Linked DNA regions of Nothobranchius furzeri. The protein of the gene in region 3 purifies or fractionates together with the protein of the main gene of each other region. This does not show direct contact. Links are inferred from orthologs where the notes say so. Each region holds a gene or a part of one and is shown on either strand. Other genes may lie near its edges.

Region 1 (4,145 bases), on a different chromosome or scaffold from region 3:
TACATAACCATGACCAAATCAAAAGTCCATTTTTTAACGATGTGAAAGTTGAAAAAATTGTTGAAAAAGTAAAAAGCCTCACCCAAGTTCTATACATGTGATTTACTTTGCAATTTTGCAAGATCCCGTGCCTATTTTCTTTTCTTTTACCAACTCCATGATTACAATGTAATAGGACAGCTAGAAGAGATTTGTCAAGAGCAAGAGAACATCAGACCCTGATGTTAACAAGACCAGAGTAGTGGACAAACAGACTAGGAGCAGCAAGGTCTTAACATAAATCATAAGTGAAGGAAGAAAAACGACTAGTGGCTTAGAACGATGCAATAACAAGCAGGTTCCCTCACCTGACATGATTTACAGCAACAAGAGAATTTACAGAATGGGCTCATGAACAGGAGCCCGTTTAGGTGGATTTGAATATAAGATGCCTTGAAGAAAATAATCAGTATGTGGAAAAGTTACAACTACAATAGCAATAAATAAACAATAAATAAACATTTCATGTGCAGGAACAAACTAAAAGGTACAAATTCATCTCTAAACAGTAAAAGCGTATAGTGTCTCATCAAGCAGTCAAACTCAGGACTAGTTTATGAAGTCTTGATTTTAACCACAGACTGTATGAATAATGGAAAAAGACCTACTCCGTAAGACAGGAAGCTGATCTGAAAGTACCTTAAAAGGTTTATTTTTGAGTGGGGAATCCTAAACTGTGTTTCAAAGTTATAAATAATTGTATTATCCACTGTAGAAAGTTTCCTGGACAACAAGCAAGCAGAGACTCAAGAGTTTTGCTGCCATCCTTAAACAGCTACAAAATGTTATAGAGGTTCATGCAAACACCATTTATAAATCTTTGACGGAAATTCCATGCAAATAATTACGTTATGCATCGTGAATGAAGTCTAATTAGTCCTGCAAATCAAGGCCGCCACGGAAGCTACCTAGAAAGGGTAAAATAGTAAACATGTATAACTTTTACACAGAAAAGAAAAAATAATCCAGTTATTTTCACAGAACGTTGCTGACTCCAGAACATTCATGGCTTCTGGTATCTTGTGATAACTGTGATAATCCCGAAAGAAAATCAACATTAAGCACTTTTATCTGAAACCAATGTTTACTGAAATTTTAAAGGTCAACTTTACTCATATTTTTAATACATTTGTAGGGAATCCTAGTAGAAATGGGTGCCTTGTAAGTTGTTCCCTGGAGCAAAAAAAGCTATAGTGCATCTGTGTGAGGACTTAGAAGTTAGCCAGTGGAGAAAGTAGCTTCAGACAACAGGATTTGGAGTCTTATTTCCTGATATTTGGACATTTGTTCTCTGATTGGCCAACAGCAGTGCAACTCTACCATTGACTCTGATTGCTTTGCAACATTGATGATTGATTTGATCTCCACAAATAAGCCTGGAAGAGTTTTGCTATGCTGTGGAAATGCCAGTGATAGCTTCTACTAGCTGAATATTCTCTGCTGTTTCCTAGATGCTAAACCAACAACAGCCTTCCTCTTCGTGAGCCAAGATGGGTGGGTCCATTCATGTTAAGTAACAGCATGACATAGATCTGTCAGGTTTTTCTGAACTGAGCATTCTTTCGTTTATTTTCCATCAAAATATAATGCAGGAAATAGAGGTAGAAGACCATTTTCAAGTTCAGCCTGTTTGTTAAAGCGATCATTTTCAAAAATAAATAAATTGTTTCTCAGCTTTTTAAGATAAAACTTTGACATCCACATAAAATTACTTTTTTGTATTAATCAGCAAAAATAAAACAAATTCTAATTAGATGTGAGCTCATCTGTATAAGAATAACGCAGTTTAAAACAGTGTAGGTTTTTTTAAACACTGTAGTTTTTTTTGATGGGCATTCAAATTGATATAAAACAACACTGGGGAAACATTTTTCAGAATATAGCCGTTCCATTTGACACTCAAAACATCATTATCTAATTTTAAAAAATCTTTATTTCTAATAAACAAAATTACTTTTAAACATTTTGTTGCCATTCGCGTGTTTATGCTAAATTTGGGAAGTTAAAGGTCCAATCACGCTGCTAAGTGATGTGGCAACTTGTGTAAACTTCTCAGGATTTGGAAAAACTTCCAGAAACTCAGTTTATTTCGCAGTTTAGGAACAAAACACTTCAAAAATGAATCTACCAATAAACTATCGAAAACTTGGAAAAATTGTACTGTTGTACAAAACAAAATTCAGCTAACGTTAGCAGTACACAATTCCTTACGACACTATGACGCTAAATAAAAATGATTATCCTGACGAGCACAAAAACATTATTATGGGATACTGTTTAAAAAGTCGTTTTAAAATGAGGCTAACTGTAGCACTGCCTTATTCTCTGGTTGGCAGCTACCACGAATAGCTAGATTAGCTTACCATTAGCCGGTACATCTGAATATCACTAACACGCGATCACGGGCGGATTAATAATCAGCACGACTTTAACTTATATTAAACGTCTTATGAATTATGAAACATTACCGTCGACGATTAGCACATAGCAGAGCCGCACAGCACCCCCAGCATGAGACTATGCGGCAGAAGAGGCTTTCACCGCTTTTTACTGAACCCTCGTACTGTGTTGACTTTCGTCTAAATCAAGAAATGCTTACCAGAATAAAGGCAATATCCACCCCAATAGCCTCTCTGTTGATGTGGTTCAAACTATTTCCGTTTAAGAGTACAAACTGTGTCTGTAAGTAGAGGTGGCTGGTTATTGATGGTGGAGCTGAAAGATATATCTGGCCTTGCCCACTACTAGGAATGCTGCATTCACGTGCAGTAGGAAATCACATCATGCACCATGACACTTGCGGGTTTTTATTATTATTATTTTTATTTATATGTTCCCGTTTCTTTTTGTAGATTGTTTAAATATCTTCTTTTTTAAGATTATGGATACAAATAACATGCAAATAAGACTATGAATAGTCGAACCACGTGTCAGAAACTGTTATTTATTGTTTTCTAATCTTTGTTCTTACGAGGGTCTATCAAGGTAGCACGTCTTTCAACGTGGAAATCAGCGTTTTTGTCTGTTTTCACCGAACCTGCCCCGGTAGAGGGCAGCTAATTGTGTAAATCCCGTTGATGTAAAGTGTAAATGCAATATCAAGCTATTCAAATGACGTTGATAAAAGATTAGTTTTGTTTGAGGACAACAACCTTTGTCTCAAAATGTTTAGGTGACACAAACTTGCCTTGTGCGCCCTCTGTCGTCTGCTGAAGTAATAACATTACTATTGGTGAAAGGAGTTGAAAGCCACCACTGTGAAGCTTTGGTTGATTTTTCTGCTATATGGTTGTTGTTGTTTTTTTCTAAGTCACCCACAGTGTTCTAAAAGGGTATTTTGCCACTTACAGATTTCTTCAACATCCTGTGATCAAATTTGGGTACTGCAGTTCTTCTAAATGAGTCCACGTTGAGCAATTGTTGCTATATCACGGACACGCACCGGAAGATTCTAGGCAAGGCAGCTTAATTTATTGAGCACATTTCAAACACAGAGGCAGTTCAATGTGCTTTACAATTAACAAGGCATGACATGAAAACACAAATTAAAATACACACAAATGGAATTACAGTTTAGAGCTAAAGGAGAAGACAAAGTTACAGGGCAGATCACAGTGGAGATGACGCAGCATAGGAAACAATTCATTTAAAGGCTGATGAGTACATTAGGGTTTTTACTTTTGTTTTAAACAACAGTAGGGTTGGGGCACATCTGAGGTCATGGGGAAGCTGATTCCATATGTGAGCAGCATAGTAACTATATCTCCATCATGTTTTGTTCTGACCCGTGGTTCTACCAGCTGGGTGTTTCCTAAGGATATCAGAGCCCTATTGGGAGTGTATACAGAAATTCAAGTTCAATTCAAGTTTGATATAGCGCCAAATCATGACAAGAGTCGTCTCAAGGCATTTCACGAATGAGATCAGACATGTATTTTGGTCCTATGACATTGAGTGATTTATAAACTAGTAGGAGCACTTTGAAATCTTTTCTGTTGTTTACTGGTAACCAGTGTAGGCATCTAAGAACAGGAGTGATGTGCTCCATTCTTTTAGTTCTTGTTAAGACTCTAGCAGCATTCTGAACAAGCTGCAGCTGCTTCACA
Region 2 (4,256 bases), on a different chromosome or scaffold from region 3:
AGGTAAGGTAAGGAAATGCCATCAGAGGAGCCGTCTGCCCCGGCAGCATCAGGTCTTCCACAGCAACTAAGTCAGGGCGCTCAGAGGAGGGAGAGCATATACCCCAACTTCCACTCAAACACCACCTGTAGAGCGCCCAGGAAGCAACAGTCGAACACCGCCCCTGGGGCAGAGGGCTCCTACAGAGAAAACACTGTATTAAATTGAGTAAAAATATGAAAATAAAAGAGATAATATAAATCACTAAAGTAAGAAAATAAATGATAAATAAAATATATGGAGAGTAAAATAATACTATAATTAAATCAATGCTTAGTGATGTGAGGTCAAACTCAGTTCAGAAGAGTGAGGTGAATGCTCACTTCACTCTCCTGTGCCGCTCAGAATGGCCAATTCAATTTGAATTATGAAACACTTTATGCAGGGCAGGCATGAAAAAGACAAATCAGTTCCTCTTTCTTTATCCTTTTCATTAAGTCACAGAATGGGCAATGAAGAAGAAGAAAATTAAAAAGCAGTTTAGAGGATTGTTATATCATTTTAATTGTGAGTCACACTAAGCAGTTGTAAAAAGAAAATGAAAATGCATTTCTGCTAATATATTTTAATTTTCAGATTTGACATTTCAAATAGAATTTTGTTACACATTTGCTGGAGTGTTATTTGAAAATTAGTTCTCAAATGCCTTTTTCTTTAGCATTTTCATGAAGTCACAGAATGGGCAATGATAAATAAGAAAATTAAAAAGCAGTTTTGAGAAATGCTTTTTCATTTTGATTGTGTCACACTAAGCAGTTGTGTAGTGAATATGAAAAAGCATTTCTTCTAATGCAGTTTAATTTTCAAATTTGACATTTCAAATAGAATTTTGTTACTTTTTGCTAGAGTGTTATTGGAAAATTACATCTTAAATGTTTTTTTCTTTATCCTTTTCATTAAGTCACAGAACAAGCAATGATGAAGAAGAAAATGAAAAAGCAGTTTAGAGGACTGCTATATCATTTTAATTGTGAGTCACACTAAGCAGTTGTAAAGTGAAAATGAAAATGCATTTTTGCTAACGCAGTTTAATTTTCAGATTTGACATTTCAAATTGAATTGTTACACATTTACTGGAGTGTTATTTGAAAATTAGTCCTCAAATGTTTTTTTCTTTATACTTTTCATGAAGTCACAGAATAAGCAATGATGAAGAAGAAAATTAAAAAGCAGTTTGGAAGATTGCTCATTAATTTTATTTATGAGTCAAATTTGGCAGTGGTAATATAAAATGAAATATCATTTCTGCTACTGCATAATAATAAGAGTTTTGTTACACATACGCTTCCATAAAACTGCACTTTAGCGAGAGAACACGGGTTTCTGCAAAATGAAAAAGCCAATCATAGGAGAGCCTTTCTAGGCTATGAGAGGCGAGAAAGGCGGGACCTTCCTTGGACATCCTACGATTCCAAATTACGCATGTGACAACGTCTATGTTGTTACACAGAAGCTAACATTGTTCGAGGCTTGGAGGATTACGCTCATTGCAATATTGCAATGACTTGGGGTCAGCACGGCCTCTCATCCCGGTTGAGGACAATAACATATTTTGCTGACCAGACATTGGGGCTTCTTGTAGCCCGGGATCACGTGACCGGTGACGTTCCAGAAGCCTCATGCTAAAAGGAATTTCAGAACTTCATCGTTCAGCAGGAGTAACCGTGGCGGCCCCTTTAAGAGGTTTGAGACGTTCCGGACAAAGTAACTATTTATTCATCATTCGGCAAAAAAACAACAACCATACTAGTGAAGTCTGTCGGAACTAGTGAGGGCAACGAGGTAAGCGTTTTTAAACCTCCTTCCTGACCGGAACAGCGTCTACATACTGTTTTAACGAACTTGACGCAGTTGTCAACCATTGACGTATTCCCCCCCCCCCCCCCCCCGTTTCAGTTCTTTTGCCTGTTTTTTGTTAACTTATGAGTTTTCTAGTTTATTATCCTGTCTGTTGTGTCGCTAAGTGTTCCCAGCATGAAGCTTCATTAACACTCGTATTAAAGGGACATTGTGTAGTTTTTATCATTAGTCTCTAGAAATAGCCATCGAAATGTTGTTGTAAACTAATTAAAAGATGCCCGGTTGTTGAAAAATATTGGCGGTTTCTTAACATATAACCATATAAATATGTTTTAAAATATTTCGGAGCGAGTCTAAGGGTGTTTCTCAATGAGGAACCTCGTCTTGGTCCCAGGTTGCCTAGGAGATACGTCATCAGAAACTGCCAAGGCCTGTTCCACTGGGTGTTTCTCAGTGCCAAGGCGCCTGGCCTTGTAAGGTGATGTCTTGCGACGCCAGGCGCCTTGCTTACGAGGACACTGTCCATCCTTGGTCAAAGAAAACGGTTAAATGGAACAGACTTGCATCACGTGACCACGGCTTACATGGCGGTCATGGGAGAAAACGTTATATTCTACCGAGGCGTCTGTTCTTCGTTTGTTAGCCATTTAGCTAGCTGAGCAAGGATACACAAGAGGTGTCTTGTAGGTTACCTTGGTCAAAATATTCCCAGAATACAGCGTGATATTTTCAAAAGGATGGCGGATAAGAAGCCGGCAACTACTTCAGGGGCAAATTTCAAGTTTAAATCAAAGATACTTTTATTAACCCCAGAGGGAATTAACATGTAAGTCAAATCATTGTAGTGATCGGGCTGATATCTAAAATGTTATTTTTTTTCAATCCAAAGAAGTTGTCTATGGTTGGTTAGTTGTTTAGTAGTTGCAGCTTTGGTGGCTAGCAGGTAGTAACTCACAAATATATACACACTTTAAAAAGTAAAAGGTTCATTATATATTTATATTGAAACATATGCGCATAAAATATAACGTTTTCTCCTGTGTCATGTGGTGCAAGTCTGTTCCATTGAACCGTTTTCTTTGACCAAGGAAGGACAGTGTCTTTGTAAGCAAGGCGCCTGGCCTCGCAAGGCCAGGTGAAACACCCCCAAAGTCTCTGGGCAATGCCATATTGGATGCCATGTTTCATGCTACGAAAGGGCGTAAGAAAAAAACACATTTACTGATTTATATCAAATGGTTAAAAAACTTCCACCAATAATAAACGTTGTTATTTTACACATTTACTTCTTCACTCTTGGCGGTGATGAAAGGGAATCTGATGTGCTTGTCATTTTGCTGGAGTTTGCAATCCCTGGGATTTTTTACCCTAATGGCCATCTGTTGGTAAGGTCTTATTTGAACACAAAAATAATGCATACTTGCAGTGATTTAGGTACGTACTGCCCCCTATCATCAGGGAAAATAAACACTCTCATTAAAAACATTGAAAAGTCTAAAAGCTGTTAACTCCCGTGCATATCTTGGCTTCATTGGTACACAATGGGGCATTATAATTATAAATCAATTGAGTTTTTTTTACATTAGACCAAAATGAACTGAAACATTAACTATGAGCACTGTGATGTATTATTTTTGTACATTTAATTGCAGCACTATGATCATCATCAAGCTAAGCTGTTTAAAAGAGCTTATCATTTTGTAATGTGGTGTGAGAAAATCTATTTCATGTTTTAAGCAGTTTTCATCACAAATATGTGCAGCTTTTGGAGTTTTATTCAGAGTGATGCTTTTTGGTAGCTGAAACTCTAGAAGGCACATATTCTGACTTCTATTGAGAATATTGACCCTAACCCTAAATAGTTCAAAGTTGGTGCCAAAGCCATTTTAAACGAGCTATCGCCATCTTAGTTTCGCTCAGTGTCAATAAGAATCCGCCCACCAAACTGAGAGTGCTGTGATTGGCACGCCACCAGACTGGTTATGGGCTCCAGAGGTTCCAGTGGAGCGTGGCTAGACCGACATGCAGAGCAAAATCATTTTGCTTCTGCTACCGTCTGTCTAGATTTCTAGACTGGGGTCCTCAGCTTGTTGCTTACTTTTTATTAGATCAAAACTGATTTTTATTAATCAACTTTATTATCTATGAGTACACCACTGTTTCAGTGTCACTAAAAAGGAGCTGCAATGGGGCTTATATGATTTGATGTTTTAAATCTAATTGTGGGTTTGGTTTGTGATTTGCTTCGAACTATCCTGAAAGACGGTAGACTTCCATGGCTTGAGTTGTCTTTCTCCTGGATCTCCAGTACATATACGAAACAAACCAAGTGAAAAAGTTGATATGTGATGGACCTTTGCCTGAGTTTTGGTATAGTTGATGTTGCTCCCCACCCCCCAGGCCTGTGACTCATGTGG
Region 3 (4,171 bases):
TACCAGCTAACGTTATATAAATATCCTCGTTTCCAATGTGAAACTGTTTAAGGTAATCCCTCATCTGAACTAACGTTTTTTTTAATCGTCGAAATATACGTGTTTTTGAACGCCTACTAATTAAAAACGTAAATTAACACTTAATATTGAACGTTGTCTACACTTGTTTTTTGGACATGTAGCTCAGTTAGCCGCTGCGTATGAGAAACCAAACGAAAGCTAGCTACCACGAAAACACTAAAAATACTTACAGGGTTCTGGGGTAACTTTCGTCGTCCATGACCAACACTGAACGTGACGTCGTAGAAAAAATATAAACTATTTGGTAATTAAAGGACGTAGACTGAGAGATAAACGCTGTAAACAACGAGCTAACTAGCTTAGAAAGCTAACCGGGCAACGTTTCTTACGTCACGCTGAGTGTGCTAACTGCGCCTGCGCATGAGCACCGAAAGGTCAACCCAAAGGGTCTGGGTCAACCTTTAGTTCGAAGCTATAAATGGCTTAATTTTATTCTGTAAGTTGAATTCACCGTGTGTAAATAGAAATTAATTGAATAAAACAGTTGATTCAGAGAATATAATGACTTATTTCCCTCTTGCTTTTCGAAAGCAACGCAATTTACGTAAAAGGCTTTTATTTTGAAGTCCATTACATGGGTACGCTCGTTTTGTATTTCGAGGTTTTCACGATTTGGACTCGAACAAAACAAGCATCGGTACTCATTTTTCACAAGGTTTTCCGAATTTTTAAACTTGATAATAGAAACAAGATGGGGTTCTTTTCCTCACAAAAATGACACACATTTTATAACAGACTAGATGACATACATATTTCTAATTTTAATCTCAGAAAGGAGCCAATATTCTACCCTTTCTCATAATTCTTACAATCTAAGAAATCTGAGAAAATAACTTTTTATCAGTGGCCTTAATTCTCCTCCGTAGATATTTATCAGAACGATAAATCATATTTGTTTCAAGTTCCTGGCGTTTTGTGTCTCCGCACCGATGCAGACGCATAAACAGGTTTAGCAGTTGCATCTCTAAGCAAATTGGATTGAGGGGAAAAACTGCTGTTCAAACCCCAGGTCTAATAGATTTGCGCATGCGTGAGTGAGAAGGTTTCAGGGTTATTACGTGATTCTGGGGTTGTTATTAAAGTAGAGCTGGTAATAGCTGCTCTCTGTAAACACCAACTATAACTAAATTAATGTAGTGTCTTTTGTTGGGGGGTGTCTGCGACACAAGAAGTAGCCGCCATGCCGCTGCTTCCAGCGCGGTCCGCCGCCCCCGACATTAACCCCGCTATTTCGAGAAACTTCCAGCCCACTTTCCTACGTCACTCGCAGGAATCTTTAAAGGGACCGCCGCCCATAAAAAATGTCTCAGTACTCGCCATGAACGCAGTGAAGACGCACTCTCCGACACTTGTGATGGCTGATAATGACATCGACCAGCTCCCCCTCGGATGGGAAGTCAAAATCGACCCTCACACTGGATGGCCCTTTTTCGTGGATCACAACAACCGGACGACAACCTGGAATGACCCGAGACACGACACCAAAAAGGTAACGGAGGCGGGATAAAGTTGTTTCAACGGGTTTCCGTAGGGTGCTGCGTCGGTTACGGATTGTGTTAAGCTGCTGGAGTCGCTACGCTACATGGCTGTTTTGTGTTAATCTTGTTGACTGTAGGCCTTGTTAGGTCCCGTCGCCTCCCCCTCACTGACTGCTCATAAGCCTAATAAAACGGGTGATCAGCCCCGTTATGTTCCCGAGTCATGATCTAACACTATTATTACCCGATGACTCACTGCCGAGTGTCAAGGCTTTCTGATACCAGCGTTAATTTAGGTGGAAAACTCATTATAAACTTTTTTACCCACAAAATAAAATGCAGTTGGGTCCCATTCCATTTAGGATATTGAATCTGGTTGTTTAGATGTGGAAATGTAGAAATCTACAGGTCTGTAATCAAATCCGTGGGCTGACGTGAGCTCCACAGGCTGCCAGCTGGGTAATCTTTCTTCATAGGGACAGACACTGTTTTCCAAAGTTAGTGTCCTGAGGAATCTGCTAGAAAGACACAGCTGTTGAGGGATAAAATTGGTGCATTGGACCAGGCAGAGGGCAAAGGGTCGTTCACGGCTATTTCTCAACTTTTGCTGGAGGATTATCAATAGTTCACACATTAATGCCCTGCTTGTAGTTGTATTTTATTTATTTTTTATTATCTCAGCTGCATGGGGCACTTTCAGTGTTGGTGTTTGATCATTCTGAGGCTTATGTAAAAAAAGTATTTGCACCTTTACAGATTTCTTCTGCTTTTGTTCTTTTTGTTGTCACGCATAAATGTTTCAGATCAGCAAAGACAAAATGCAGTTTTCAGATGAAGACTTCAAGTTCTCTTAACCAATAACTCTGAACACTCTTGGACAGAGGCGGCACCAGGACATTTTCATGGGGGACAAGATTGGGGGGCCAAGGAAAATTTAAGGGTGGCACATCAAACTAGTTCTCTTGGTAACTCTTGAGTTTTTTAGCCTGTAGCTGTGCTCTGCATCCTCATCCATTCTTAAAAAATATGCAGCAGAAATGTTATATTTGAGAAAATAAGAAACTTCAAATATTTAATTTATTCATACTTTAACATTTACTTTTTAGTAGTTTAGAACAGCTGGATGTATCTGTCGCTGTCTTAATGAATGCATTTTACAAAACAGATTGATATTTGTACTTCTTCTTGAAAATGGTGCACAGCAGCAACATATTAATTTGTTTACTTATTTCTATATTTGTAAGGTTTTACATTTTATTAAAGAAGACTAATGTATAGTTTTGTGAACATAAATATTGAACATAAATATGATTTATTAAAGGAGGTTGGAGAGTGGAAGTGCTCTGAGGTGGCCAGCAATTTTCCAGGATTGGTCAAGGCCCCCCTCTGGCCACCACTTGGGGGCGCCACTGTTCTTGAAGGCAACAACTGCAATTAAAGAGACGGTGTGTATTTTTCCTGGCGATAGGGGGCAGTAGATACATAAATCGTTGCAAGCAAGCAGTATTTTTGTGTTTGAGTAACCCCAAAATTCCACTATCTCCGCTCCGGCACGAACTCTGCAGCAAAAACGGTCCCGTTGTAGTCAATCAGAGCTGTTCCACTACTGCGGCCGTGCGGCGCAGTGAGCCGTTCCGCCATCCGGCAAAAATGGATTGATTCTATTTTTGCCGGACGCCGGAGCACCTCCGCAGTCAAAGGACAGAAATCACAATCGCCCAACAGGAAAGGGAGCAAGCACAACTTCCGTTATTTCACAATAAATCGATAAACAAAAAACGTTTTTTGTTTCATATGCACATGTTTAACAACTTTTAACAACTATCAATGGCGGTTGAACTTTAAATGCACAACATAAGCCATAAATACAGTTTCTACTATCAAAGTAGTCACACTTTGTTGATCCAAACACTGCTGATCTCTCAACACAAATGATGGGCAGATTAAACAGTTCATTTCGATGCTTCCCCCACACAACGGGTGTTTGGATCTAACTTCCAACGAGCATTTATTGCTCGGACTGTATCGCAAGATCTCGAAAATCCAGCGCATGCCTGTTTGCGCACCTCAGGTCTCTGCACCGGAGCGGAGCCGTTGTAGAGCGGGTACCAGTAAAAATTGAGTTCGGAAGCGAGCGGCTGCGGAAAGCGACAGATGCTCATTAGGGTCAAAAAGCCCTGGGGAGTGCAAACTTTAGTAAAATGACAAGCACATCAGACTCCCTTTAATCAGTGGCAACAAGTGAAGAGGTAAATGTGTAAAACAACATTTAAGAATGACAAAAGTTTTGTAACTGTTTGTTACAAATCAGTAAATGCAATTTGTCCTCACGGGCTCCCTTAGAAGGAAACTTGACATCTAATATGGAGTCACCCAGAGACTTAGACCCACTCCCATGTATTTTAGACCTGATTTTTATGGTTATTATACAAAGCCGTCAATCATTTTCAACAACTGGGCATCATTCCATTAATTTAACGACATTTTGATGGATATTTCCAGAAATGAATGATTAAAAACTACACATTGTCTCTTTAAGCTCAAGAACAACGAGTCAATCTCTTTAAGAGTCTCACTTGGAAATCACCTATACGTTATATAAAGGGGAAAGT

What was found.
Region 1: the proteins of bag3 (region 3) and dnajb6b purify together in Homo sapiens (co-immunoprecipitation; 3 studies listed by BioGRID and IntAct, with this or other methods). This does not show direct contact. The link is inferred for Nothobranchius furzeri from reciprocal best matches to the Homo sapiens genes BAG3 and DNAJB6.
Region 2: the proteins of bag3 (region 3) and pdlim7 purify together in Homo sapiens (affinity purification with mass spectrometry; 3 studies listed by BioGRID and IntAct, counting the BioPlex papers as one, with this or other methods). This does not show direct contact. The link is inferred for Nothobranchius furzeri from reciprocal best matches to the Homo sapiens genes BAG3 and PDLIM7.

The regions. Positions count from the first base shown.
Region 1 is NC_091747.1:47,512,833-47,516,977, forward strand, and holds the start of dnajb6b (dnaJ homolog subfamily B member 6b), read right to left. Parts: upstream 2,801-4,145; 5' UTR 2,639-2,800; intron 1-2,638. UniProt on the Homo sapiens protein: Has a stimulatory effect on the ATPase activity of HSP70 in a dose-dependent and time-dependent manner and hence acts as a co-chaperone of HSP70. Plays an indispensable role in the organization of KRT8/KRT18 filaments.
Region 2 is NC_091741.1:103,242,189-103,246,444, reverse strand, and holds the start of pdlim7 (PDZ and LIM domain protein 7), read left to right. Parts: upstream 1-1,456; 5' UTR 1,457-1,821; intron 1,822-2,422; exon of another isoform or gene 2,423-4,256. UniProt on the Homo sapiens protein: May function as a scaffold on which the coordinated assembly of proteins can occur. May play a role as an adapter that, via its PDZ domain, localizes LIM-binding proteins to actin filaments of both skeletal muscle and nonmuscle tissues.
Region 3 is NC_091752.1:5,543,179-5,547,349, reverse strand, and holds the start of bag3 (BAG family molecular chaperone regulator 3), read left to right. Parts: upstream 1-1,371; 5' UTR 1,372-1,399; coding exon 1,400-1,570; intron 1,571-4,171. Other genes in the region: tial1 (nucleolysin TIAR), read right to left, coding at 252-280. UniProt on the Homo sapiens protein: Co-chaperone and adapter protein that connects different classes of molecular chaperones including heat shock proteins 70 (HSP70s), e.g. HSPA1A/HSP70 or HSPA8/HSC70, and small heat shock proteins (sHSPs), e.g. HSPB8.